Macaca mulatta: one gene and its partners. The protein of the gene in region 1 binds, or shares a complex with, the protein of each later gene. Links are inferred from orthologs where the notes say so. Each region holds a gene or a part of one and is shown in the gene's direction. Other genes may lie near its edges. The genes, in order: SF3B3, PRPF38A, SF3B4, DDX42, SF3A2, ZMAT2 and HTATSF1.

What was found.
Region 2: SF3B3 (region 1) and PRPF38A share a complex: the UniProt entries of both Homo sapiens proteins name them as parts of the spliceosome B complex. The link is inferred for Macaca mulatta from reciprocal best matches to the Homo sapiens genes SF3B3 and PRPF38A.
Region 3: SF3B3 (region 1) and SF3B4 share a complex: the UniProt entries of both Homo sapiens proteins name them as parts of the SF3B subcomplex of the 17S U2 SnRNP complex. The link is inferred for Macaca mulatta from reciprocal best matches to the Homo sapiens genes SF3B3 and SF3B4.
Region 4: the proteins of SF3B3 (region 1) and DDX42 are in contact, whole or in part, in a cryo-EM structure (PDB 7EVN), measured with the Homo sapiens proteins. The link is inferred for Macaca mulatta from reciprocal best matches to the Homo sapiens genes SF3B3 and DDX42. Residues at the interface, in NP_036558.3 of Homo sapiens: Glu159, Ala160, His161, Tyr211, His219, Val220, Val221, Arg222, Lys223; in NP_031398.2 of Homo sapiens: Lys145, Gly146, Ile147, Arg148, Asp149, Asp150.
Region 5: SF3B3 (region 1) and SF3A2 share a complex: the UniProt entries of both Homo sapiens proteins name them as parts of the 17S U2 SnRNP complex. The link is inferred for Macaca mulatta from reciprocal best matches to the Homo sapiens genes SF3B3 and SF3A2.
Region 6: SF3B3 (region 1) and ZMAT2 share a complex: the UniProt entries of both Homo sapiens proteins name them as parts of the spliceosome B complex. The link is inferred for Macaca mulatta from reciprocal best matches to the Homo sapiens genes SF3B3 and ZMAT2.
Region 7: SF3B3 (region 1) and HTATSF1 share a complex: the UniProt entries of both Homo sapiens proteins name them as parts of the 17S U2 SnRNP complex. The link is inferred for Macaca mulatta from reciprocal best matches to the Homo sapiens genes SF3B3 and HTATSF1.

The regions. Positions count from the first base shown.
Region 1 is NC_133425.1:69,283,200-69,286,806, reverse strand, and holds part of SF3B3 (splicing factor 3B subunit 3), read left to right. Parts: intron 1-380; coding exon 381-555; intron 556-1,600; coding exon 1,601-1,806; intron 1,807-1,903; coding exon 1,904-2,060; intron 2,061-3,607. UniProt on the Homo sapiens protein: Component of the 17S U2 SnRNP complex of the spliceosome, a large ribonucleoprotein complex that removes introns from transcribed pre-mRNAs.
Region 2 is NC_133406.1:188,247,210-188,251,245, reverse strand, and holds the start of PRPF38A (pre-mRNA-splicing factor 38A), read left to right. Parts: upstream 1-1,163; 5' UTR 1,164-1,175; coding exon 1,176-1,305; intron 1,306-1,685; exon of another isoform or gene 1,686-1,711; coding exon of another isoform or gene 1,712-1,739; intron 1,740-2,108; coding exon 2,109-2,268; intron 2,269-4,036. UniProt on the Homo sapiens protein: Involved in pre-mRNA splicing as a component of the spliceosome.
Region 3 is NC_133406.1:117,227,071-117,231,393, forward strand, and holds the start of SF3B4 (splicing factor 3B subunit 4), read left to right. Parts: upstream 1-1,497; 5' UTR 1,498-1,549; coding exon 1,550-1,583; intron 1,584-2,015; coding exon 2,016-2,144; intron 2,145-2,382; coding exon 2,383-2,925; intron 2,926-3,254; coding exon 3,255-3,461; intron 3,462-4,323. Other genes in the region: MTMR11 (myotubularin-related protein 11), read left to right, coding at 1-170. UniProt on the Homo sapiens protein: Component of the 17S U2 SnRNP complex of the spliceosome, a large ribonucleoprotein complex that removes introns from transcribed pre-mRNAs.
Region 4 is NC_133421.1:73,566,654-73,570,992, forward strand, and holds the start of DDX42 (ATP-dependent RNA helicase DDX42), read left to right. Parts: upstream 1-1,472; 5' UTR 1,473-1,554; intron 1,555-2,275; exon of another isoform or gene 2,276-2,346; intron 2,347-4,096; exon of another isoform or gene 4,097-4,206; intron 4,207-4,339. UniProt on the Homo sapiens protein: ATP-dependent RNA helicase that binds to partially double-stranded RNAs (dsRNAs) in order to unwind RNA secondary structures. Unwinding is promoted in the presence of single-strand binding proteins.
Region 5 is NC_133424.1:2,982,534-2,986,854, forward strand, and holds the start of SF3A2 (splicing factor 3A subunit 2), read left to right. Parts: upstream 1-1,503; 5' UTR 1,504-2,171; exon of another isoform or gene 2,172-3,419; intron 3,420-4,267; exon of another isoform or gene 4,268-4,321. Other genes in the region: PLEKHJ1 (pleckstrin homology domain-containing family J member 1), read right to left, coding at 404-470, 566-633, 798-891. UniProt on the Homo sapiens protein: Component of the 17S U2 SnRNP complex of the spliceosome, a large ribonucleoprotein complex that removes introns from transcribed pre-mRNAs.
Region 6 is NC_133411.1:149,549,322-149,551,694, forward strand, and holds the end of ZMAT2 (zinc finger matrin-type protein 2), read left to right. Parts: intron 1-763; coding exon 764-907; 3' UTR 908-1,810; downstream 1,811-2,373. UniProt on the Homo sapiens protein: Involved in pre-mRNA splicing as a component of the spliceosome.
Region 7 is NC_133426.1:142,822,063-142,826,276, forward strand, and holds the start of HTATSF1 (17S U2 SnRNP complex component HTATSF1), read left to right. Parts: upstream 1-1,369; 5' UTR 1,370-1,569; intron 1,570-1,753; 5' UTR 1,754-1,814; coding exon 1,815-2,000; intron 2,001-3,726; coding exon 3,727-3,907; intron 3,908-4,214. UniProt on the Homo sapiens protein: Component of the 17S U2 SnRNP complex of the spliceosome, a large ribonucleoprotein complex that removes introns from transcribed pre-mRNAs.

The DNA.
Region 1 (3,607 bases):
CCACTTCATTTTATGAAGCACAGTCACTACAGATACCATATATGTTCAGGTAATTGCAGTGTTCACAACAAATTTGGGATTGGGCGCTTTATTATCATTAGAGTGATTAAAAAAAAATCTTGACAATCGTTTGTGTTTCATTGGTGAGAACTAGAATTGCCATGAATTGTGGTAGGGTGTTGCCAAATGGGAAGGCCCTTCCCGGATCTCTCTGTCTGCAGTGCAGTTTTCTAGATTAGGAGGCTGTTGTTTAATGTTGCCTAATGCCAGCGTTAGAGCTTCAGGGATTGATGTGTTTACTGACTGCTCAAAGCCTATTTCACCACCAATTTCTAGGTCCTGAGTGAGTATTAAGTAACTGCCTTGCTTTTCTGTCATAGCATTTTGGCATTAGAGAAGCTCGGTGCTGTCTTCAATCAAGTAGCCTTCCCACTGCAGTACACACCCAGGAAATTTGTCATCCACCCTGAGAGTAACAACCTTATTATCATTGAAACGGACCACAATGCCTACACTGAGGCCACAAAAGCTCAGAGAAAGCAGCAGATGGCAGAGGTAATGAGACTAACGTTCAGGGGTTCTGTTAAAAGATTTGTGAAATTATGTTGAAAAGTTTAAACTGCTCAGCACTTTTGGAGGCTGAGATGGGAGGATTGCTAGTTTGAGACCGGCCTGGGCAACATAGCAAAACCGCACCTCTATTAAAAATTTTGAAAGATAGCCTGGTGTGTTGGTGCACTCCTGGTATGTTGGCACACTCCACTGCATACCAGTGGCACTCTGGACATGAGACTCTGTCAAAAGTTTAAACTCCTGTAATTGTTGTTATATTCTTTGTTTTTTAAAGATCTAGGCTCTTTTCAGCTTCTTTAAGCAGAGGCCTTTGCCCCAAAATACTTCATGTTAGAGCCTTTCTTGTAACCCAGGACTATACTCTGACCTCCATTTATTCACAATTAAGTTCCCTCTCTGAAACAGAATTCTCCAGTCTTTGAGCTTCCAAAATAGACTGTATTTCCTGGATTTGGGCCCAAAGGAGACAGCTTTCATGTTCTCCACAATACCAGCTCTTTCTAGAACTCATTGCCTAGCAAAAACCAAATAGCTAAACCACATAGAACTGTATCCAGCCTTAAAGAGTGGAGACAGAGTAGTCTTAGTAGGGGAAATCAGATGGGTTGGATTAAAAAATGGAGTTTCTGGCCGGGCGCGGTGGCTCAAGCCTGTAATCCCAGCACTTTGGGAGGCCGAGATGGGCGGATCACGAGGTCAAGAGATCGAGACCATCCTGGCTAACACGGGTGAAAACCCATCTCTACTAAAAAATACAAAAAAAAACCTATCTGGGTGAGGTGGCGGGCACCTGTAGTCCCAGCTACACGGGAGGCTGAGGCAGGAGAATGGCGTGAACCCGGGAGGCGGAGCTTGCAGTGAGCTGAGATCCGGCCACTGCACTCCAGCCTGGGCAACAGAGCGAGACTCCTTCTCAAAAAAAAAAAAAAAGAAAAAACCCCTTGGAGTGTTCTTGCTACCTATCCTCTTCTCAGCCAGCCCCTACCTCTGAACATGCCAACTCAGTTGTTTGGTTTTTTGGGTTTAGGAAATGGTGGAAGCAGCAGGGGAGGATGAGCGGGAGCTGGCCGCAGAGATGGCAGCAGCATTCCTCAATGAAAACCTCCCTGAATCTATCTTTGGAGCTCCCAAGGCTGGCAATGGGCAGTGGGCCTCTGTGATCCGAGTGATGAATCCCATTCAGGGGAACACACTGGACCTTGTCCAGCTGGAACAGAATGAGGCAGCTTTTAGGTAAGGAGCCCAGGACAGTTCAGGGTTTGGTAGCCTGGAACAGGAGCTCTCTGGGTTTTGACGAAGGCCTTACTCTTGCCTCTTACTCTGTGTGTAGTGTGGCTGTGTGCAGGTTCTCCAACACTGGTGAAGACTGGTATGTGCTGGTGGGTGTGGCCAAGGACCTGATACTGAACCCCCGATCTGTGGCAGGGGGCTTCGTCTATACTTACAAGCTTGTGAACAATGGGGAAAAACTGGAGTTTTTGCACAAGGTAGGAATCAGCCAGTGAGTGGTTCTCCTAGATCTTAAGTCCTATTGAATTCTCTTACTTTTGCTTATGTTATGGGTCAGGTCTTTTGGGGACCAGCTCCTTGATTCCAATCCGTCTCTTACCAGCACATGGAAAATCCTGGGGCCTTCTAGCTGCGGTGATGCTCTTGTGCCTGTGCATTCCACAGTAAGGCTTTGTGCTAACCACCCATAATGGGGAGATGGATGCACATTGAATCAGTCCCTTTCTTACTGTTTTAATAAGTGGGCAACAATTTGTGACCAAAATTCAGCAGTTTAAATAATTAATATTCTGGCTGTGTGCGGTGGCTCACACCTGTAATCCCAGCACTTTGGGACCAGCCCGACCAACATGATGAAAGCCCGTCTCTACTAAAAATATAAAAATCAGCCAGGCATGGTGGCATGTACCTGTTATCCCATCTACTTGGGAGGCTGAGGCAGGAGAATCACTTGAACCCGGGAGGCGGAGGTTGCAGTGAGCTGAGATTGTACCATTGCACTCTAGCCTGGTTGGCACAGTGAGACTGTCAAAAAGAAAAAAAAAAAGATTTAGTGTTCTTTTCCATCTGCCTTCTCTGGGAAGTTACTGTTTAATGGGTACAGAGTTTCAGTTTGGGAAGATGAAAAAAAAGCTGGAGATGATAGTTACACAACAGTAAATGTGCTTAATGCCACTGAAGTGTATACTTAAAAATGACTGGGCATGGTGACTCATTCCTGTAATCCCAGCACTTTGGAAGGCCGAGGTGGGCGGATCACCTGAGGTCAGGGGTTCAAGACCAGTCTGGTCAATGTGGTGAAATCCCATCTCTATTAAAAATAAAAAATCAGCCAGGCATGGTGGTGGGCGCCTGTAACCCCAGCTACTCCAGAGGTTAAGGCAGGAGAATTGCTTGAACCTGGGAGGCAGAGGTTGTACTGTGCTGAGATTGTGCCACTGCACTCCAGCCTGGGCGACAGAGTGAGACTCTGTCTCAAAAAAAAAAGGATTAAGATGGTAAACTTTATGTTATGTCTGTTTTACCATAATTATTAAAATAAAAATAATATTCTCCTCCACACTGACAGCATGTGGATTCCTTCAACCCTACCATAAGGGGAGTATCCTCTAAGAAATACTTCATAGACCCTTTTGCGTATAAAATTTGCCTCTCCTTTACAACTGAGATGTCACTAGGCTGGGTGCAGTGGCTCACGCTTGTAATCCCAGCATTTTGGGAGTCTGAGTCGAGCAGATCACTTGAGCCCAAGAGTGAGACCAGCCTGGACAATGTGGTGAAACTCAGTTTCTACAGAAAATACAGATAATTAGTTGGGCGTGATGGCACATGCCTGTAGTCCCAGCTACTCGGGAGGCTGAGGTGGGAGGATCACCTGAGCCCAGGAAGTCCAGGCTATAGTGAGCCGTGATTACGCCTGCCACAGCCCTCCAGCTTGAGCGACAGTGAGATCCCGTCTCCAAAAAAAAAAAAAAATGTCATTTTCCACTAGCATTTCTTTCCTGTCCCTCCACAAATTACAGTC
Region 2 (4,036 bases), on another chromosome or scaffold:
GTTACAGACAACTAGCATCGTATCTAATCATTGCAGTTTCACAAATAGACCAGGGTAAGAATGCTGCTTCCAACTGTCACGGCAGAAGACCCTTCAGTTCCGGGATTAGACAAGAGAAGAAGAGAGCCAGCAGACTTCTCTTCTGAAAACAAGGTGAATGGCAGTCCAGCAGTTAGGAGCTCATCTGAAAAAAAGATCTGGGTAGGAGCCCAGACTGCTTAGTCACGAAAAGCGACCTAAGACACGTCCCTCTCTGGGCGCAATTTGCTACGTCCGTAAAATGGGGTAATAATCTCTGCTCCGCCTTCCCTGTAGTGATTCCTACACTATAGCTCAAAGAACGAAGTAAGTCGAGTGCTTCACAAGTGCAGATGGAGGGAAAGTCATCACTGAGCCTCAGGGTATGGAGGGCAGGAGTGCTCCTGCTTCTCGGCTGTTGGCTTCCGCCTTCCCCACTGCAACTCAGTTCCCTGCAGCGCTTTTAGGAATTGCAGTGTGGAACAGAGGAACGCTCTTTAACAGTTCAGAACAGTGCCTGGCACTGAACAGGCGCTGGGTACATGTCAGCTGAAAGAATCAATGAGTGAGTCTACAGAGAACGTCCTCAGTTTCAGATGTTCCGCTGCGCCTTCCCCCGAGTCCCTCGCAACCCGCGGGACGCCACACTCACCGGGCTCCAAAGCTTCCTCCGGCTAGCCGCAAGCCCTCCGTTTCCTACCGCCTCCGCTTCGAGAGCTCCGGGGGATGCAGCACCTCTAACCTGTACCAGCAGGGCTCCTCCTACAGCTACGGGCCGCACGCCAGGACGAAAGCGTGTGTCTCGCTGGAAATGGAAGGAAGGTGGAAGGAGCAAAGAAAACTTCGCGCCAATCGGCGGGGCCCCGCCCCCAGGCCATCCCTTCGCTGCGTCACCAACTAGCTCGCCCCGCCCACTACGTACACCTAAGAGGGGCGCCTGACGTAAATCCGCTAACATGCAGCCGCCATCATTGATTCGATCGGCGCCGCGGTGCGCGGAAGGTCTTTGCGCTGAGGTGTTTCCGGTTTCAAGATGGTGGCCTAAGCCTTTTAGTGAAACAACTTCTACCGCTCTCCATTCCCCTAGGTGTTTTTTTCTGAACCTGGATGTGACGCATTAAAGGATCCGACGGAAATAGAATTGAAGGCATTCTAAAATGGCTAACCGTACAGTGAAGGATGCGCACAGTATCCACGGCACCAACCCTCAATATCTGGTGGAGAAGATCATTCGAACGCGAATCTATGAGTCCAAGTACTGGAAAGAGGAGTGCTTCGGACTTACGGGTGAGCGAAAGCACGCAGAGCCCCTCTCGGCAGCCTTGTGGCCAATTTCTCCTGACCGAGCTCCGGTGGGACTAGCGACTGGCCTCTGGGGGTGGGGTTTTGAGCGGAGTATGTCGATCATTCAGAAAAATTTGAGTGCATACTAAGTGCCTCGTCTTGTGTCGACTATTGGGAACACAGATGAATCTGATAAGGTCATGTTCTGAAGGGTGTCTCAGTTGGGTTCTGTGAGTTATCCCATATTTAATGATAGCTGGCTGGGTTGCAACAGTGTTAAGCTCAGGGGTCCGAATATAACACTTTGACACAATCTATTGAAGGTCTTTAAGGACCTGACGTTAATATGCCTGAAACCAAATTCATGATCTTACTATCCTTAGATCTGGGCCAGTTCCAGTATTTATAAATGTCAGTGCTTCAGAGAAGTCTTCCAGGTAATCTTCCGATTTGAATTCTGGCTTTAAATCCATGTCCTGTGGCAATCTGTGAACCTTGAACAAGTCACTTTACCTTTCTTAGCCCTCATTTTCCTTATCTGGAAATAAGAACATTGCTAGAACTTTCTTCATGACTTGTTAAAAAAGGTCAAGTGAGATAATATGAAAAGTTTAGCAGGGTACCTATTTTATTATCCATTCTCAATGTATATTAGCTGCTGTCGTTACTGTTACTAATACACATTCGTTCTCCTAATATTACACTGTTGATGTGTATTTAGGAGAACCAAAGCTTGAACTAACTCTCCACTTTCAACTAGGAAGAGCTTAGCCCTAATATGTCACTCTATTCTTTTTGTTTTTTAGCTGAACTTGTAGTCGATAAAGCCATGGAGTTAAGGTTTGTGGGTGGCGTCTATGGTGGCAACATAAAACCAACACCCTTTCTGTGTTTAACCTTGAAGATGCTTCAGATTCAACCCGAGAAGGATATCATTGTAGAGTTTATCAAAAATGAAGATTTCAAGTGAGTGCAATGTTCACTAGCTAATATAAGAGGTTTAATTTTGGCGGTTCAGCATTGGGCTTTGGTTAAGAGTGGTGTACACAATGTATCTCATTTCTACAGAGTTCCACTCCAGATTTTTGCTTTTGAGTCCTTGAGTTTGTATTTTGTTTGTTTGTTTTTCGTTTTGGAAACAGAGTCTGTCTGTGTTGCCCAGGCTGGAGTGCAGTGGTGCAGTCTCGGCTCACTGCAACCTCCATTTCCTGGGTTCAAGTGATTCTCCTGCCCCAGTCTCCCGAGTAGCTGGGATTACAGGCATGTGCCACCACGCCTGGCTAGATTTTGTATTTTTAGTAGAGATGGGGTTTCACCATGTTGGCCAGGCTGGTCTTGAACTCCAGACCTCAGGTGATCCCCTCCCCTCTGGGCCTCCCAGAGCGCCAGGAACACAGGCATGAGCCACCACACCCGGCCAAGTTTGTATTTTATCTGTTCTGATTGTATTAATCTTCTACTTTACTTTCTCAGTTTTGGTGGTAGTTTTTCCCCAAAAAAGGATTTCACAAATTCACTAAATATATATTAAGCAAAAGTGAGTGCCTGATATGTTGGTAGGCACTGGACGCTCAGGGGTGAAAATCAAACAACAAAAGGTAGTGGTTAAGAGGTGTTAGATCTGGGTTCACATCCAGATTCTGTTGCCCATTAACTTGACATTGGAGGGGTTACTTAATTTTCTAAACTTTGCTTATCTGTAAAATGGTGACTATAATGTAAGAGTGAAAGAAGGTAATGCATGCGGATCTCTGAACACAGCATTTGCTGCACGGTAAACACCTAGAAAATGTCAGCTTCTCATTACTGTATTACCCATTCTCAAGGAAATCACAGACAAGTATAGGAGACAGACATAATAGCTTCTTATGTGCCATGCTCTAAGGGCTTTGCGTATACTAATTCATTTCACTTTCACAACAACCTTCTAAACTTTTAATCCCTATTCTACAGGAGAGGAAACTGAGGCACAGAGATTAAGTAATTTTGCCCAAGTTCAAACAGCTAGTAAGTGGCAAATCTGGCTTCAGAGTTCATGTTCTTTGGTACAGTATTCTGCTTCTCATACAAAGAAACTGTGAGTTTCAAATGCCTCGTAGTTACCCAAGAGGAAATTTAAGTAGTTGGATACAGGAAAAAGGGAAGAGGGACGACTCTTATAAAGCATTAATAGCTAGAAAATACCTAACTTTTGTTAGGCACTTACTGTGTGCTCTATGCTGTACTTAGGACTTTAAATGCATTTCTTGTTTATATACCAAGCCATAAATTAAGTAGCATTATCTCCATTTTACAAGGATTGAGAAAACACAGATTTGACCAGTAGTGTCACAGAATTAGTAAATCATGGAGTCAGAATTTGAACCCAGATGACTTATTTTTTTCCAAAACCAGCAGTCATGTTTATGTGTACTTGTTCTTGTATTGTTATTAAATATATCTTCTACTTTCTGTTTTAAAATTCAGTATCTGGCCAGGCGTGGCTCACACCTGTAATCCCAGCACTTTGGGAGGCCAAGGCAGGTGGATCACTTGAGGTCAGGAGTTTGAGACTAGCCTGGCCAACATGGCAAAACCCATCCCTACTAAAGATACCAAAATTAGGCTGGGTGCGGTGACACACACCTGTAATCCCACCTACTCGGGAGGCTGAGGGAGGAGAATGCTTGAACCCAGGAGGTGGAGGTTGTAGTGAGTTGAGATTGTGCCACTGCACTCCAGCCTGGGCAACAGA
Region 3 (4,323 bases), on another chromosome or scaffold:
CAATCTCTGGCCTCCAGGATGAGCTATCCCATCTTCAGGAGCTATTACGGAAATGGACACCAAGAATATCTCCTGAAGTTCACTCCAAGAAAAGAGATCCACATACCATTCTCAATCCCACTGAAATTGTGGGCATTCTCAAAGGCAGGGCAGAGGGGGATCTGGGGTAGAGGACGGTTCTGTCTAATCCTTTTTTTTTTTTTTTTTTTGTTTCTGGACTTGCAGCCTCAGCTTTCACACTCCAGCCCTTAAGTTCACTAAGAAGGTCTGAGTTTCTGCTGCAGATGGTGGTGTTAACTGCTCCAACTCTTGTCCTGTCTTGCTTAGTTCCTACGGATATTTTTGTTTCTTGTCATTTGAAGGATTAAGAAACAAAAACAATCCAGAAATTGATCGGTTTTTTTAGACCAGTTCCATCCCTTCTGGATAACCAGATGTTAAATCGTGAGATCAGAGATGCTGTTCATCAGTCCCAACAAGATGGCCTACAGATCGCATTCTCACCTCGCCTTGCTGCTGCTTTAATTCCAACTTCTATTTCTTCCCTTATAGTTTTCTATGGGAATGAGGCGGATACAGGAAACACCCTGTCTCCTCTGTATTTTTGTAGCGGAATTTTCTATTTAAGGGGCTCATTAAAGCATAGTATTTATACACATTACTGGCATTGTTTCTTGTGTTTGAATAAAGGATTCTCCTAGGTAGGAAAGTGGTGGGTAAAAGGTGGGTATGATCCAAGAGAGGAAGGCATCTACTGTATTATTGCTAAGGAAATAGGGGAACTGGATTTGGTGAGACTCTGCAGAATTCAAGTGCAGTTTGGGGAAAGGATTCTGTGTGTGTCTCCCATTTAGAGGCAGATGGGGCCAGATTGTTCTAGAGATCCAGACTGAAGTCTCTGAGCTCCGATCCTATCCACCCCTCACCTGTGGTCACACACCACCTTGGAGCAGCCCTCACCCTCCCCATGCAATTACGACGAGATGAGCGCAGACGTCACTCCAGCTCAGACATTTCGCAGTCTCCTCCCCGAGGGAAAACCAAATACCTCCAGCCCAAATCAGGGCTGTTGAGGCCAAATCTGCAAGAAGGTTGCAGGCGAGATGGAGGGTTCCCTCTGCGCCTGAAAGCAGCCAAGTCCTCGGGTTGGGGGGACTCTTCAGCACATCCTTCTCTGGACAACAAAACATCATCACTGGCTACAAAATACATGAAAACTGAAGTTTTTGTTCTTTTAGCTTTCGAATTTACATTTTTGGGAGCAGTGTGATTCTTTCAAGTCTAGCAGTGCATTAAGACGGTCTGAGCGTTTCCGTTCCGCCCTCCTCGCTAAGACCACTAGCAGCAGCACCTCTGCGCGGGTGCCGAGGACTCCACCGCCCAACCCGAGTTAAGTCTTGGAGGCTCCTAAAATGGCTGCAGCCGCTTCCAGGCCCCTCCTCTTCCGCGGCTCCGCCCAGCGCTACGTCCTCCTTCGCCCCGGAAGTGGAAGTCGTGCTGAGGTCAGAAGGCGGAACCGCTGCTGGGAGACGGCGGGAGCTCTTTCGCCATGGCTGCCGGGCCGATCTCCGAGCGGAACCAGGGTAACTGGAGGGGGAAAGTCTGGAATGGGCTCAGCGTGGCTAGGAGGCCCCTACTACAGCCAGAAGTGCCTCTGCAGGGGTGGGAGACTGGACTCATCCATTCCCCAGAGGGCGCGAGACCGGCCCCGTGCCTCCTGGGGGCGGGGTGGCCAGGTGCTGGCTGAGGCCTGTGGGTGTGATACTTACGTCCAATCCCCTGCTGAGTTCTCACTCAAAAAAACAAAAAAATCCACTCAGAATACTAAATTAGACTTCAGAGGATTCCTGAAGTCCTGGAGAGAGAAGTTTAAGGGTTTAACTTTTTTTTTTTGCTCCTGTCCCCTACCCGCGTCCCCAGTTCCCCCGGTTGGGTTCCATCTTCATGTTTCCATCACCTCCTTCTTTCATGTTATACTCTCACCCTTGCTCTAACTTTCTGCTCCCTCCCTTCAGATGCCACTGTGTACGTGGGGGGCCTGGATGAGAAGGTTAGTGAACCACTGCTGTGGGAACTGTTTCTCCAGGCTGGACCAGTAGTCAACACCCACATGCCAAAGGATAGAGTCACTGGCCAGCACCAAGGTGAGTACATGACAAGGGGCAATTTGCTTCCGGAGGGTCCCGGCAGTATTCACAACTGTTTTGGAATAACATGAGCAACCTAAAGTATTTCTTTCTTTTAAGCCTCTGTTCAGTTTATTTCTGGAACCATTCTTAAGTGAGATTGTTTCTTTCTTGTTCTTTGTGATTAGAGGGTAGATGAGTTTTACCCCATTTTCAATCTCTTATGTTGTTAACCTCCTCTTCTCCACTTCTCCAGGCTATGGCTTTGTGGAATTCTTGAGTGAGGAAGATGCTGACTATGCCATTAAGATCATGAACATGATCAAACTCTATGGGAAGCCAATACGGGTGAACAAAGCATCAGCCCACAACAAAAACCTGGATGTAGGGGCCAACATTTTCATTGGGAACCTGGACCCTGAGATTGATGAGAAGTTGCTTTATGATACTTTCAGCGCTTTTGGGGTCATCTTACAAACCCCCAAGATTATGCGGGACCCTGACACAGGCAACTCCAAAGGTTATGCCTTTATTAATTTTGCTTCATTTGATGCTTCGGATGCAGCAATTGAAGCCATGAATGGGCAGTACCTCTGTAACCGCCCTATCACCGTATCTTATGCCTTCAAGAAGGACTCCAAGGGTGAGCGCCATGGCTCAGCAGCCGAACGACTTCTGGCAGCTCAGAACCCGCTCTCCCAGGCTGACCGCCCTCATCAGCTGTTTGCAGATGCACCTCCTCCACCCTCTGCCCCCAATCCTGTGGTATCATCATTGGGGTCTGGGCTTCCTCCACCAGGTAAAGCTTTTGGTTAAAATTTGTTTGTCTTAAGGTTGGGGGAGAGAGTCAGGAGGAAGAAAAAAAGAGCCTGAAAGGGGGATGGGACATGGAGTCAGTGAGTGATGGGAAGAGGACTGAGGGGTGATGGTAGTGGTGGAGAAGAAAGTTGTTGGGTTTCTTTAGGAGGGTGAAGTTGGTTGACTTTTCTAACATTGCTTTTGATTTTAGAGCACTGGGAGGAGGGGGAAAGAGCTCACCCTGCCCAGAGAGGCCAGATCAGGACAGGCTCTTTAAAGACATTTTCTCCTCACTACCATTAACTTTTCCTTTTTCCATTTCCTCTATAGGCATGCCTCCTCCTGGCTCCTTCCCACCCCCAGTGCCACCTCCTGGAGCCCTCCCACCTGGGATACCCCCAGCCATGCCCCCACCACCTATGCCTCCTGGAGCTGCAGGACATGGCCCCCCATCGGCAGGAACCCCAGGGGCAGGACATCCTGGTCATGGACACTCACATCCTCACCCATTCCCACCAGGTGGGATGCCCCATCCAGGTAGGTGTGCTTTGTTGGGAGGGAAGAGCTTGGTAGAGCATCTCTGTTACCTCTCACCCTGCTGCCCTTTGTTCCTCAACAGTAACAGTTTCAGAGTTTCCTTTCCTTCAGACATTCTATTATAAAAACATACAAAATACTCTCTAACATCCACCTCCCTGTATCCATTTCTTAAGTTTTTCTGACAAGAAGACTATACTTGCTGGTTTTTATTTCTTTAACCTTTAGTTCCATTCTCTTCTCTGACTCCAGCTCAAAGTGGTGACCTAATTGCCAAATCTCAGGGACACTTCTCCTCCTTATCTAGTTTGACCTCTGATGTACTTGAAACTAGTCGTGTCCTCCTGTTTGAAATTCTCGTCTCTTTTTGCTTTTGCTTTTCTAGATCCTCCACCCCTCTGACTCCTTAATCTCAGCTACCATGATAGACTCTTGTCTACTTGTGCCTAGATTTTTGTGCTTGTTTCTCTTTTCTGCATATATCTATAGTTTTAATTGAGCATATACTGATGCCTCCTAGATCTGTATCTCTAGTCCATAGCTGTTGACATTCCGGATCCTTAATGCTTTAATGCTGCTGCTTAATAGATAGCGTCATTTTTCTGTCCCTCTCCTTCAAACCCATTCTTTCTCTAGCAGTCTTTTTTTTCAGGTGCTTAATTCATGAATCTGAGAGTGATGTTTGACTGCTCCCTATCACCCCACTCTTAATACCAAGTCTTATTTAATATCAGTGGCATCTCTCCCCATGGCCAGTGCCCTAGTTCAGTCTCTCATTCCCTCATTATTTAACACTTAATTTATTGTAGTAATCTCCTTCCACTTGGACTCCAGTTTTCCCTAACTTCGATCTACTTTCACA
Region 4 (4,339 bases), on another chromosome or scaffold:
AAGTTCTTGCCAGGCCACCCAGCTTCTATGACTCCTGAAGCAAGCAACACAGGACCAAGGAAAATTCACACAAGCACTGACAAGTCTGGTTTGATTATTTTCTGCAAGCTCATCCAATAGTTCCTCAGCGACTGAGTCCAGACTTGAGGGAAGGGGACTGAGTGAGGCCATTATTCCTTGTTGTCATTTTAGATTAGGTCTTTCTGACAACGGCCAGAACGAGTATTCTGGAAATCATGCAGACTTTCCTCTGTCTCCTTATACGTGTTGGATACAAACACGTTTCATGCTAGAAACCTCCAGAGGAGACTGGCCACAGAGGTTTTTGCTTCTATTAAACCCCCTCGCCTAGTTTCTCCCCACCCAAGAGAATCAATACATCCTAATGGCATCCTGCGGCACACACTGTACATTTCCTCTAACTCTGCCCTTCTGGCTATCATTTGCTCACAGTCCATGGGAAAGTTCCCCTAAACCATTACAATTATCTCAACCGGACCGGGCTACAGGCCAAGCAACTCGGAGTCACCGCTCGGCCTGGGCCGGCCCCGCCGACAAGCGCGTCCTGGCCCGCTCCTTACCTGTGGCCAAGGCCGAAACCCGGCCCAGCGCCCTACGTCCGCCACCCCTGCTCCGCCTGCCTCTCGGCCTGGCCGCAGCCTCCGCGATCGCAGCTGTTTTACTACCCTGGATGCCTCTAGGACACAGCCAGAACCGTAGCTCAGGCACGCCGCGCCTCTCTTCACGTAGCCTCCGCCGTCCGTTACGTAGAATGCGAGCGGCTCGTCAGCGCCTGCGCGCAGTGTGCAGTGTGCAGTGTGCGGGGCGGGACGCAACACTAGGGACAGCGCAAGACCTCCCTCTTCCCCGCCCAGCTGAGGCGAGGTGGGGCTTCTGGGAAAATTACATAATCCCCGCCCCTGGGCCGGAACTGCTCTCGCCTATACCAATCCTCCTCCGTAGGGTTCCGTCAAGTTGACGTCACACGGAACCGGTGCTCCGGAAGCTAAAGGTAGTGATGCTGTGCGGAACCACGTGGCCAAAGGCAAGAGTGTCGCTGTAGTAGTATTTGCAACGGACCAGAGTTTAAATGATAGGCATGTTCATGTAAATGTGGTTTCTGCCCAACCCATTTTCTCTTGGGATTTTTTGACCAGCCTCCTGACGCCACTTTTTCTTCATTCCCAGACCCACTTTCTAGACGGGTCATGAACTCTGTCCACCCAACTAGCAGTTTCCTGTCAGAGTATCTGAGGAGCCTGGGAGGCGTTCTGGAGCTTTTAGGTCAGGCGCCTTCCGGGAGTCGTAGCCCCGGCCCCGCCCTTCGGCCCGCGCACTCCTCACTGCGCATGTCGGGTTTTTGTTACCCTCCCCCCTTCAGCAACGGGCCGTGAGGCGGTGGCGGTGGCGGTGGCGGTGGCGGTGGTGGCGGCGGCGAAGGGGGCGGAGAGGAAGGAGCGCGGCGGGACCGGGCTGGGACAGCGCGTACTTTGGGCCGCGGGATTCTCTCCGTGCCGGCGGTGGTAGCAGCTGCGGCTGCAGCCATAGCAGCAGGTTTGTTCGTGGGGGTTTTGGACGCAGGGCCGCTAGTCCTTAGGGGCACTGGAGGCAACTGCTGGGCCTAGCGAGGGCGGAGGAACCGCGGCCTTGCTTAACAAAGAGTCGGCAGAGCCTCGGGGCACCCGCGGCCGGGGTGCTGGGAAGGGGTGGGAGTGCGGGCAGAGGCCTCGAGGGTTCCTTCCTAGCCGCGTCGCCCTCCCACAGCTCCCGCTTCCCTCGCAAGTCTTACCGAGGCCCAGTTGGCGGCTTTCCGGAGGCGGCGCCCGCTCGCCTAGGAAAGGGATTTGCAGGGTGCCCGGCTCCGAGGCAGGGATAGCGCGGGGAGAATTCTGGCCCAAGGAGGCAGCGCTTGGGAGATGCAGGCTTCCGAATTTGGGGTCCTGATAGGCAAAAGCTGCCAAATGAGAGGAGTGAAAAGATGTAAGCGGTGATCTTTGTGCAGCCTTGAGTAGGTCGATTATTAGCATCACTTTGTCACCCAAACTTTTTTGCGGCCTACTTGAAAGCCTATCTGATGTGAATAAATAATTTATGTGGAGTTACAAACATATGCATCAAAAACATAGGAGAAGCTCTCGAGAGTTTTGGGGAATTATATTCTCATCACTGAGAATTTCCCTGTTGCCTACACTCCTATAGGCAGTTATCCAATTTCCTGTATATTCTTTTTGTGAATGATGTTTCTATGTCTGTCCTCCCTCATATACACACCCAGGACTTCCTAAAAGGCAGGGACTATGTCTTAAGTCACTTTGCAGAGCCTGGCTCAGTTCTGGCGTATAGGAGGTGAGCAGTGAGTGTTTTGTACAAAAATTAACATTTAGACTTTGACAGCTGGGAAAAGAAAATGTGTCTTTCTGTACCTGGAAGAGGCATTTACACAATGCCTAATGTACAATTCATTCATTGAAGGGATATTTTTATTGGTGCCTATTCTCTAGCGCCGTTCTAGGTGATAGGGATAGGTGTTAGACCCCTGCCTTTGTGAAACTTAACTTTCTAGTAGCGCAAGGAGAGGCAAAGAAATACATAAATTATACTGAATGTTAGAAGATGATCAGTACCTTAGGAAAAAGAAAGCTGGAAAGGGGGTTGGGGAGGTGTTGTTAGAATTTGCAATAAAGTGGTCAGGGAAGTCCCTACAGACAAGCTTATGTTTAAGCGGACTGGAAGGAGGAGTGAGCCTATGTTTATCTGGGGAAAGGAACGTTCCAAGCTAGAGAGTAACAAATATAAAGGCCTTGAGAAGGACAAAGCTGGCCCGTTAAGAGTGCGAAGACCAATGCGTTTGGAGCACTGTGAGCTGAGGGAGTATTAGGAGATAGTCTGGGAAGAATTGGGGGAAGGGAGTGAGCGGAACAACCAGAGCCTTTTAGGCTATTACTTAAGAAGGATCTGAGGGTTTCGATCAGAGGAATGATAATATCTGATTTATATTGTAGCAATTTAATAAAAGAGAGGAGTGCAGTAATTTAAATTTGTTTTGTTACATTGATAGTCATATAATCAGCTCCCAGTTGCTTTAAGCTGACAAGAGAAGGGATGCTTCTAAAATAACCAAAACCTAGCATTTACTTATATTTAGTTTAGAAGAATGTGATTACGTTCTTGAGTTTTTATATAGATTCTCATTAAAGAACTGACCTCTATATAGTGTGTGAGATACTCTCAAGGTATTATGTAGAGTAGATGCTAATCACTGTCACTAGAACTCTTTCTTCCACCTCCAGAAATGCAAGTGATAATGTGGTTTATATAATCAGTTGTTTTTAGTCCACTATATTTAAAGTCATTTAGATCATATCTTATTTTCCACCATTGCCAAAAACACAAACTAGCTAAATTGTCTTCCTTTATAAGCGTGTTCCGCATTTATTCTCACTTCCTAGCCTTCACTAGTTCAGTCTTTCTCCCTAGAATGTCATCCTCTGCATGTCTCTACCCAGCTTGCATCTTTCTGTGCCTAGCCTGGCTTCTGGCTCTTTTATGACGCTTACCCCTGCCTGTTAGCTCATAGTGATCTCTGACATCTTCAGTGTTTTTGTGGCGCTTATGTGTGAAATACCTGAGTTGAAAGAAGTCTGATAGTCTCAATTTACCGATGAAGAAATTGGGTCTTCAGAAATAATAATATAATGAAAAACAAGTTGGCAGCTGACGTATTGAACAAGTACATTTTTGTGTATGAACTTAATTTTTCACACCAACCCTTGAGATAGGTGATAGTCTCATCTTTTTTTTTTTTTTTTTTTTTTTTTAAGATGGTGTTTGGCTATGTTGCTCAGGCTGGTGTCAGACTCCTGGGCTCAAGTAATCCACCTGCCTCAGCCTCCCAAAGTACTGGGATTACAGGCGTGAGCCACCATACACAGCCTCTCACCATTTTATAGATGAGGAAACTGAACCCAGAGAAGCTAAATAACTTCCCTGAGGTTCATATCAAGTTAGTAGCAAAGATGGTTTACACACAGCCTGTGCTACTTTACTATTCCGTTAAGATTTCCTATGAAACCACCACGTTTTATTTATGTTTTAGAGACAGTGTCTTGCTGTGTTGCCCAGGTTGGAGTGCAGTGGTCCAGTCAGCTCACTGTAACCTGGAACTCCTGGGTTCAAGCAATCCTCTTGCCTCAGCCTCCTGAGCAGGTAGGACTACAGGCGTGTGCCACCATGCCTGGCTAACTTTTATAATTTTTTTGTAAAGGCACGGTTTTGCTGTGTTGCCCAAGCTGGTCTCAAACTCCTGGCCATAAGTGATCCTCCCACTTCAGCCTCCCAA
Region 5 (4,321 bases), on another chromosome or scaffold:
TTTTTCCCCGCAGAAGGGAATCTCTTAAGACCCAGGAGAACACCCCCCTCTCACTCCCCCTACCCCCACCTAATGCTAGACCCATGCTAGTTGTGGCAGTTGGGAAACGCTTTGGGTGGGGCTGGCCCAGCCTCTCTGTGAGTACAGCCTGGGCCCACAGGGAAGAAAGAGCAGAATCTGGAAGGAACCCAAGCTTAAGTGGACTTGGCAGGTGGGCGGGATGGTGCCCGCCAGGAGAACCTGACCTTGAGCTGCCCGTGGACAATGCATTCTTATGTCTGGGGAGGGTGGCGCCAGGCTGGGGACACAGAGGAGGCCTTGAGCGCCTGGGGAGGGGACAGTTGCAGCGTTGCTGGTGCCCCGGGCTGCGGGAGGCGCCGCTGGCTTCCCTAGCCCCACTCACTGATGGAGAAGGCGCCGGGCTCTTCCCGGATGACTCTGCACCGCTCCAGAAGCAGGGCTCCGACGGGCTGGAGGAGACACGGGCGCCGGGACGGAGCGGTGAGCACCCGGCCTCCGCGGGGCCCCAGCCTGGGATCCGCCCGCGCGCCCTCGACGCCCCTACCTCGGCCTCGTCTGTCCGGAAGTAGAAGAGGAAATTCACCACCAGCTTCACCAGCCGCCGCTTCAGCACTGCGGGCACAGCGCGCGCTCAGAGGCGCAGGCAGCCCCCGCCCGGACCCCGGCCTCCCGCACCCGGCGCCCCGACCCGGAATCCGGCCTCCGGCACCCGCGCCCGGACCGCGGCCCCAGCCTCCCGCCCCTGGCACTGTCCCGGTCTCCCGGGTCCCGCTCACCGCTGCCCTTCTTGGGGCCCCTCATGCCCAGCTCGGCCGCCATCTCGGCCGGCTGCCGGGACAGCGCCTGCAGCTCCTTCTCGTTGTACCGCATGGCTTCGCGGGGAACGGGAACCTGGACCGCGCCCTCCCGGCCGCCGTCCCCGTTCACGCCGGGGCCGGCGCCAAAAAGGTCTCAGGGCGCAGACACGGAAGCACCGCCGGGGCTAGTGCGCCTGCGCACTTTGGGCCGGCCATGCCGCCAGTCTCCAGTGCGTGGCGCTGGCGACCTGGGGCGGGGGGGGCGGGGGGGGACGGTGCACGAGTTGGTAGCGGAGACGGACAGTCGTTACATAACCATTAAATTGAAATAAACCAGACAAAGGTGGAACAGCATCAAGGCACCCCCGCGATGGCTGGCACCCCTTCCTAGAGCGGCCAGGCGCAGGCGGAGGGAGCGATAACGTCTCCCGAAGAATGTCAGCCGCCCCTCGCGAAAGTTAGCCCAGCGCGGCCGCAGCGGACCAAGGGTTCGTTGGGGGCGTTGTGCGCACGCGCGGTTTGCCTTCCAGGCCGGGCGTTCAGCCCCGCCCCCTCCAGCCCTTTCCCTCGCGCCTCCTGACTCTCTGACTTGCGCCGCTGGGCGGGCCGGGCATGCGCACACCAGAGGGCCCGCCCCATTTGCCCCGGAAGTGCTTTCTTTGACCGCGACGCGCGTGCGCCGAACGAAGTCGTGGCGGTGGCGGATCGAGGAGATAACGCGGCCTCAGGCTCTGGTGAGGAGTGGAGCCGGTTGAGGGTGGCGGCCGACTCGGACCGGGGGTTCCCTGGGGAAGAGCGGACGTAGGAGAGAGGAGCTTGCGACAGGCCGCAGGCCGAGGGGCGGGCGGCGGCGTCGCTCCCCTCCCTCCTCCCGTGAGCGTCCGGCCTTGTGCATCCTGTAGATCCCGCGCTGGGCGGGCCCGGAGGGTCGGGCCCGCTCGGAACTCTATTTCCAAACTCCTGTTGGGAGGCCGCGCGCGGGGGCTCACGCCTGTAATCTCACCGCTCAGGGAGGGCTTGGCGGGAGGATCGCTTGAGGCCAGGAGTTCGAGACCAGGCTGGACAACACAGCGAGACCCCATCTCTACAAAAAAATTTTTAAAATTAGCCAGGAGTTGGTTGTTGTACCTGTAGCCCCAGCTACTCGAGAGGATCGCTTGATCCCGGAATGTCGAGGCTGCAGTGAGCCATGATCGCAATTGCACTCCAGCCTGGGCAACAGAGCAAGACCCTGTTTCACAAAATGAAAAAGAAACAACTAAGACTCTTTGGGATCAGATCGGGATCGCGGCTGAAATGGTTTGGGCCTCCTTCCTTGTAGCCGAGAACGCTTCTGCATGCTAATCTATACCTGTGAGTTCACTGGGGCTCTGTGATATAACTCTTGTAAGCCTCATTCCCCTTAAAACGGGAGTGACAGCTTCAACACCATGCCAAAGGGGACCAGAAAACGTTAGCTGGCCCCATTTTGCAGGTGCACATGGCTGTGACCGTTGTTCGTGTGTATCCTTGGAGAACACCAAACAGCCAGGGGGAGCTTTGGAAAAGAGGTTGTTTGCTGGGTTTAACGAGAGAACGGTGTTGCCACCAAAAACTAATTCCTTCCCGCTGGTCCAGCCCCAGGTCTCGGAGGCCACCTTTCCTCAATTCTTAAGCTCATTTCCCCTGGTCGTCGTCGTCGGTTTTTTGTCTCTCTGTTTGTATGTTTTGAGACAGTGTCTTGCTCTGTCACCCAGGCTGGAGTGAGTGCAGTGGTGCCATCACAGCTTACTGCAGCCTCGAACTCCCATGCTCAAGCCGTCCTCCTGCCTCAACCTCCCAAGTCGCTGGGACCACAGGTGCTCACCACCATGCCCGGCTAATTTTTGTATTTTTTGTAGAGACGGAGTTTGGCCATGTTGCCCAGGCTGGTCTCGAACTCTTGACCTCAGGTGATCCACCCCCCCCACCCCCCCACAGCCTCCCAAAGTGGTAGGATTACAGGCATTAGCCACTACACCCGGCTCTTTTTTCTATTTTTTTGTAGAGATAGGGTTTTTCCACTCTGTTCCCTGATCTTTACCTTAGTAAATAACATACTTCTTCCTGGATTTATCAATTTGTAGACATCATCTGCTGATTTCCTGTCACGGCTGTTGAGATTTTCTCCCTCCTATCCACCTACTGCACCTTCGCCTTCCATATCCTGAATGAGTTTCTGTCGTGAGCACAGTTGGTCATTGGTTGTATTTTTTAAATAAGATGCAAAATGTTGTTGGCTGCTCAGGGCCGGGCGCAGTGGCTCACGCCTATAATCCCAGCACTTTGGGAGGCCAAGGCAGGTGGATCACGAGGTCAGGAGATTGAGACCACCCTGGCTAACATGGTGAAACCCCGTCTCTACTAAAAATACAAAAATTCAGCCAGGTGTGGTGGCGGGCACCTGTAGTCCCAGCTACTCGGGAGGCTGAGGCAGGAGAATGGCGTGAACCCGGGAGGCGGAGCTTGCAGTGAGCTGAGATCACGCCACTGCACTCCAGCTTGGGAGACACAGCGAGATTCCATCTCAAAAAAATATATGTATATGGCTGGGCGCGGTGGCTCACGCCTGTAATCCCAGCACTTTGGGAGGCCGAGGCGGGCGGATCACAAGGTCAGGAGATCGAGACCACGGTGAAACCCCGTCTCTACTAAAAATACAAAAAATTAGCTGGGCGCAGTTGTGGGCGCCTGTAGTCCCAGCTACTCGGGAGGCTGAGGCAGGAGAATGGCGTGAACCCGGGAGGCGGAGCTTGCAGTGAGCCGAGATCGCGCCACTGCACTCCAGCCTGGGCGACAGAGCGAGACTCCGTCTCAAAAAAAAAAAAAAAAAAAATGTATATATGTGTATATATATATACACACACACACATATACACATGTATATGTATATATATTTAGTTGGCTGCTAAAACAAGTAATGTGTTCAACTGGGCTTTTGTTGTAGCTTTCTATTTTCCCTTAAAGCTAATTAACTTTGTTTTTACCATTAGCCTTTCTTTTCCCTACTGTTTGTTTATTTCCCCACAAAGCTCCAGCATCTCACACCTATCAGTTGTGTTTTGCACAGGTTTAAATGAATTGATCTCCACCTCCCCACTGCCCTCCAAGACCCCCGTATCCTCCTTCTCCGAATGGGACTGATTGTGCTCTGCCTGGGTGGAGCTGGTGTCCCAAACCTTCCTGTCCTTGCTGCCCTGTGCTGACCTCTGTTCCCAGTGTGGCCATCTTTTCCTCTTCCTGATGTCAGAGCAGAACTTCTGGGAGCTTTGGAAGAAATAGATGATTTTTTTCGGGGATGGGGGAAGTCTTTGATTGCCTGAAAATGAGTTTATTTACCCTCATAGTTAGAAGTTTGGTGGGGTATAAAAATCTAGATTGAAAATCCATATTTGGCCGGGCGCGGTGGCTCAAGCCTGTGATCCCAGCACTTTGGGAGGCCGAGACGGGCGGATCACAAGGTCAGGAGATCGAGACCATCCTGG
Region 6 (2,373 bases), on another chromosome or scaffold:
GTACCTAGTCCTAAGGAGGCCCATGAAATCAGGCTGACTGGGTCAGAATTCTGTTTCTTCCACTTACTGGCTGTGAATCTTGGGCAAGTTATATAACCTCTTTGTGCCTCAGTATCCCCATATTAGAGATCTTAGTATAATATGCATGAAGTACTCAGAGCAATTTCTGGCATGTACTGCATGCCCCAGAATGTCAGTTGCTATTATATGGTTTTGCTGTCATAACCCTGTCAGGAACTAGAAATGACATGGGGCCAGACGCAGTGGCTCACGCGTGTAATCCCAACACTTTGGGAGGCCAAGGTGGATGGATCACTTGAGACCAGGAGTTCAAGACCAGCCCCAGCAACATGGTGGGACCCTGTCTCTACAAATACAAAAATTAGCTGGGTGCAGTGGCACACGCCTATAGTCCCAGCTACTTGGGAGGCTGAGGTGGGAGGATTGCTTGAACCCAGGAGGTGGAGGTTGCGATGAGCCGAGATTGTGCCACTGCACTCCAGCCTAGGCGACAGAACAAGACTCTCTCAAAAAAAAAAAAAAAAAATGAACTAGAGTGCAGGCTTGAGAACTTCTCTCTAGAGGCTAAAACTTCTTTTTGTTATCCTTTATAATTTTTACTCTGGCTTTTACTCTGTCCTTGAGATTTTACTTGTCTTAAGTACTTTCTCCTAAAGATAGAAAGGAGTCTTGAAACTCATGTCTTTTTCAGTAACATTTGGCTGAGGAGTCTAAACTGATTCTGAGTGATTTTTCCCTCCAGGAAGAAAAGGCCAAAGCATACAAGAAAGAGAAACAGAAGGAGAAGAAAAGGAGGGCTGAGGAGGACTTGACATTTGAGGAGGACGATGAGATGGCAGCTGTGATGGGCTTCTCTGGCTTTGGTTCCACCAAGAAGAGTTACTGAGGCTTTCTATGCTTGGCCTAACTTGGGCCTATGCTGGACCTAACTTTGTGTGTGTGTGTGTGTAGTCGGGGGTCATTTCTTTTTGGGTGATGGGAAAGTTCTTAAGAGTGTCAATGGGGAGGGATAGAGGGTGGGGCTCATGGTTTCCCTCTACTTTGGGAGAGGGCACAGATTGCAGAGGTAATGCTGTGGCATATTGCTTCAGCCTCAGTATATCGCTGGAGTCATAGGACCCCTGCCCACCTGAGTTTCCAATAAAGAAAAACCTCCCCTTCTGAGGCTGCTTTCCCAAAACTCCCCCTGCATCTTTATCTCTCCATCTATCCAGCCTCTTGTCTGAGCATCCCAACTTTATCCTGTGTTATGCCTTTGTTTTAATTTTATCTCATGTTCAGCCTGCAACAGAAGCATTCTCTAGGTCCCAGTTTCCAGTTGATTGCATATCCTTGACCAGCCCTTTTTCCCATCCCGCCCTATGGTTCTCTAGCTACCTGTGCATGCATGTGTATTTCTGCCTGGTTCTATGGTGTGTGGATGTGTGTGCATGAATCTGTCACATAGAGGGGGCCTGAGCTGGAATCCTAGAGCATTGCTGCCCTGGGGCCTGATGTTCTTGGCTTCCTCAGAGCATGTAACAGGAAATTAAATGGGATGAGTGTTTGGTGTGGTTTGTGTCTGATGAGTTTTTTAACATTCAGGTGTAGATTGTTTCAGGTTCTCTTGTTTCATTTTCCTGAGGATTTCTGTTTTTGTCTTCCTTGTGAGCAGGCTTTTGGAAGAACCTGTTTGATGCAAAGAAGAAAATGAAAAACAAAACAAAACAAAAAATCCCCAAAACCTTATTATGGGAGCCCTTGGGTCTTAGAAGCTGTTCAACATGTATAATAAATGGCATTGACTGGGCCTGTTTTACATTTGGTGGGAACATTCCATAATTTTGCCTGTGAATATTTGTTTTTCCTTCTCATGCTGAGGATTTCCATAGAGTGTTTTATTCTTCCATTTTAAATCTTATTTTTGCCTAGGATTTTTTTTTTTTTTTTTTTAGCATGAGTTATGTTTTCCTCTGGTAAGGGATCTGTGTCCAGAGGAGCCTGAACCAAAACTATTCCTATCATTTCAGACTCCTTTGATCTTTTGTTTTTGGAACAGTAGAGCTCAGGATTGAACTTAGTGTTTTTCTTTTTCTTTTTCTTTTTTTTTTTTTTTTTTTGAGAGAGTCTTGCTCTATCGCCCAGTCTGGAGTGCAGTGGCGCGGTCTTGGCTCACTGCAACCTCCGCCTCTTGGCTTCAAGCGGCTAATTTTGTATTTTTAGTTGAGATGGGGTTTCACCATGTTGGCTAGGCTGGTCTAGAACTCCTTGCTCAGGTGATCCACCTGCCTCAGCCTCCCAAAGTGCTGGGATTATAGGCGTGAGCCATTGCACCCTGCCCTTAGTGTGTTTCTTACTGTCTGCTAGACACAG
Region 7 (4,214 bases), on another chromosome or scaffold:
TGAAAAAGAAATATAATTTAGAAAAACTAACCCAAACTATTAAAAACTATTGTTATCGTTGAAACCATAGATTCACACAGCTGGTACGTGGGGAGCCAGGATTTTCTAGAAGTAGTACTCAACTGCTATGTTTAGAAGTGAAGGTCACTGGAATAGTGAAATAATTTCTTCTGGGAAGGTTTTCCCCACCCTCAAGCCTGGGTTGTGATATTTATGGTTACACTAATGAGTTCCTTATTATTTTAAATGAATTAATATTTTTTAACGGCCGCTTTAATTTTTGTGCAGAAATATTGGTAAGTATAATCCACAAACGTTTTTTGGGGTCTTCAATGTTTTCGTGTAAAGAGGACCTGGGACCAAAAAGTTTGAGAACTGCTGTCCTCCAGCATCTCGTATCTGTCATTTGCCAACCATCCTAATTCTGTCTCCCCTGAGCTGTGCCTGTCTTGTCGACTCCTGGGTCGCCAGAGCCTCGTGCAGAACCCTGCACTTAGTAGGGGCTGGATAAATACCTGCCCAACTTAAAAATATGGACCTTTACATTTTCAGCAATGAGTGTAATTCCTGAAAACAAAGTTCTGTTTAGAACAAAAGTATGCTGTGTCTTTCTAAAACAATGACAAAGAAGCGGAGTTTGCCGGCCAGTAAAGCTGGTGTTTACACTGGGATGTTTACATTTATGTCTAAGTTTCAAGTTCGCAGCTCGAGCGCCACTGAATCCTGCAGTACAAGAGGCAGGCAACTGCAGCCCCTCCCATCCTTCCCATGGAGTCAAACTCCAGCCAGAGGAAGGTATGAGACCGATAAAGGAGAAGGCTGACACCAGAAAAAAAAAAAGTTGGCCCTTTTACCCCTCATTCGTTCATTCATTCGCTCATTCCGCATTAGACACCAGAGCCGGTGCCAGGAGCTTAGGTCACCAAGAAGAACAATATCCGGTGTCCATCCCAGGGAGTCGGAAAGAAACAAGTAAAAGACACGGTTCCTGCGCGGGGGAGGGGCCTTTGGGCGAAGGAGGCGCGTCGTTTTCTCGAAGCCAGAGATATTTGTCCTGCCCGCCCCACCCACTCCCCCAAGATGGCGTCCTCGCGACACCCGCCCGGCCACCTCCGCGAGGGAATATTCCCACGCCTTCCTTCCGTCTCCCTCCCGGGCCGGCCGATTCGCCGGGAACCCCGCGGACCTCAAGGCCCTTGAGGCGTCAGGGGATCCCAGTGGCCCTCGCCCCGCCCCAAGGCCGAACCCGGTGGGCGTCGACGCCCGGCAGTAGCGCTCCCCCCTCTCCGGCGCCCCGCCTCCCCGGGTCTCGCGCCGCGTGCCGGCGTCGGCGCCTTTTGACGCCACAGTGGGCGTGTCGGCGCGACCCGCGACGTCGCGACGCGCCGACAATGGCGGCTGCGTCGGCCTGAGCAGGGCTTAGTTTACAAGTAATATCCTGACGTTGCCGAGGGAGCCGCAGTCGCCTTAGACCCGGTCGGCGGCGGCGGCGGCGGCGGCGGCGCGCCTGCGCGCTCCCGCAGCGCCCTGGACCTAGCGGCGGTGCCGAGGCCCAGCGGAGCAAGCCAGGTGGGCGGCGGCGCGGCCGAGCTCCCAGCATCAGCGCGCGCGCGCGGTGGGCGGGCAGAGCAGGGGGCGGTGCGGCAGCCGAGCGGCCCCGATTTCCCGGGGACTGCTGGGGCGCCGCGGGGAGGCGGGCCGGGGGGCGGCGGGGCGCGAGCAGAGCGCGATTGACCTCCCTTTTTCTGCTCAGCTCCAGCGTCATTTCGGCCTCTTAGTTCTTCTGAACCCTTCTCCTGAGCTGAGTAGGAAACATGAGCGGCAGCAACTTGGATGGGAACGATGAGTTTGATGAGCAGTTGCGAATGCAAGAATTGTACGGAGACGGCAAGGATGGTGACACCCAGACCGATGCCGGCGGAGAAACCGATTCTCTCGGGCAGCAGCCGACGGACACCCCCTACGAGTGGGACCTGGACAAGAAGGCTTGGTTCCCCAAGGTAGGAGAGTGCCACGGGCGCCACTGCAGAGCGGGTCGCCTGGCCAGCCTCGCGGAGCACTCCTCTTACGTTTGCTTTGCTGAGATCCTTGGTCCTTGGTCCTAGCCCCCTTGGATAGCGGCGCTTCTTTTTGTTGTGTTTGTCGGGGCACCGATGTGTGAAGGAACGTAAATCTTTAGGGTGGTGTCTTAAATGTAATTTTTAAGTTTTTTCTATGCTTTATTAATCTTGTCTGTGAAGGTCACAGTTGGTAATTACATTGATGACTGCTTTTTATTGCGAAGAGGAAAAACACCAAGAGCAAATTTAGTAGCTGTCCATTTCTGGTAGCCGACCCCACTTGTCCTAGGAACTCAGATGTTTAGCTTATGTACTATGTGCAAAATGCAGTTTCTTGGTTTTTTTAAAGTAGCTGTTTACATATCTTTACTAATTGAACTTTCTTTGCACCTTGCTTTACTTTCCTAGCAAATTTTGTCCCTAAGCATATATGTTTGAACCATATAACCACAGGAATAAGACTGGAGACGCACAGAATACAGATGGAAAATATCTGTGTATATTTGTTTGGAGTACTTGGAAATTGCTAAGTATTTTTATTTCAGCTTCGAAGTAAAATAAGTAATGTTAAACTTGGTTCTGTAAACTTTGTGGTAAAAGTGCCCTTTTAATCTGGCTCTCATGAGCAGGAAAGGGCACACTAGTAGCACGCAAATTGACTTGCAAGCCAATAATACAAAACCTGTCTCCATTGCGCGACTGGACGGCTGTTTTAAAAATTCTTTTGCAACTTTTCTTTCCCATTCTGTATTTGTATACATATTCCAATGCCTCCAGATTGTTAAAATTTACGATTTCACTTCTGTATTGGTAGTACTAGTTTTGAGTGCAGATTTGGTTTCTTCAGCATTCTGAATACTTTTAACAAAGGTGTGATAATGGATTAATGTGTGACTTTATCTTTTTATGTTATTGAAGCCCATACCTCTTCAAACTTTGGGTTTTACATTTTCCCCATTCCATGCGTGCCTAATGTTGATTGGTATGATGGTATAACTATATTTCTTTAGTTTTGCAATAACGCTTTTCCCCCAAAGGGGAGGAAGATAGATATGAGTTGGATTTGTCTTTAATTTGTTCTGTTACTAAAAGATAACGTCTTAATTTGTGATAAAGTTAAAATGAGCATTTAGTTTTACAGTTGTTAACTCCATTCTTTATATACCAAGTCAGAGTTCTGTTCTACGTGCTCTCTGCATACAGATATTTAAGTACTTATTGTACACGTATATTTGTGCATGTGTACAGTAAGAGAAAAGTGGATTCTGTGGTTAGATTATTCATTGACTGTTGGTTTTTATTGTTTTATTATCTGGTACTTCCTTTGTTGTATGTATTTGTAGCCTTAGTTAAGTAGACTGTAGAGAGGTAGTAATTTATAAATGAAACAACTAGAAAAGGTGCCAGCATCACTTAAAATGCTTTAAATCATATCTCAGACATTTGCATTGATCGTCTAAGTACTCGTGTCTTATTTTTTATCACCGCATGCACAATTTTCTGTATAAGATGACTATTGCATTTATACTCTAATAACTACAACTATTATCCACAGAAACACTTCTGTTTTAAGTTGTGTAACCATGCTGTAAAAACAATTTAAACTTCTTATGGGTGGAAATAATTTTGAATTTCTCTGTCTGGGTCTGCTGAATTGCTTGTTTAGATCACTGAAGATTTCATTGCTACATATCAGGCCAATTATGGCTTCTCTAATGATGGCGCATCTAGTTCTACCGCAAATGTTGAAGATGTCCATGCTAGAACTGCAGAGGAACCTCCACAAGAAAAAGCCTCAGAACCCACTGATCCCAGAAAGAAGGGAGAAAAAAGAAAGGCTGAGTCAGGTAAGTGGTTCTGGCTTACAAATTTTAAGTGTAAAAATTAAAAATATGGGTGTGCATATGTACAGTTGCTTTTCCGAGAATTATAATAGCTTTGAAGGAATAAGGTGAGTTTTTTCTTAAAGGTAGTGTCAGAGTTATAAAGAATCAAGATAAACTGGCCATCATTTTTCCCAGATAGGGCTCTAAAACTAATTATTTGTCCAAAGATTTAAATCCTTTGAAAGCTGGGTAGTGATTTGAGTTAGTTTATCTTGGTCTTTTAAGAGTAAGAGAAAGGTCCTGGAAGTTTCAAGAAACTGCTGCTTTG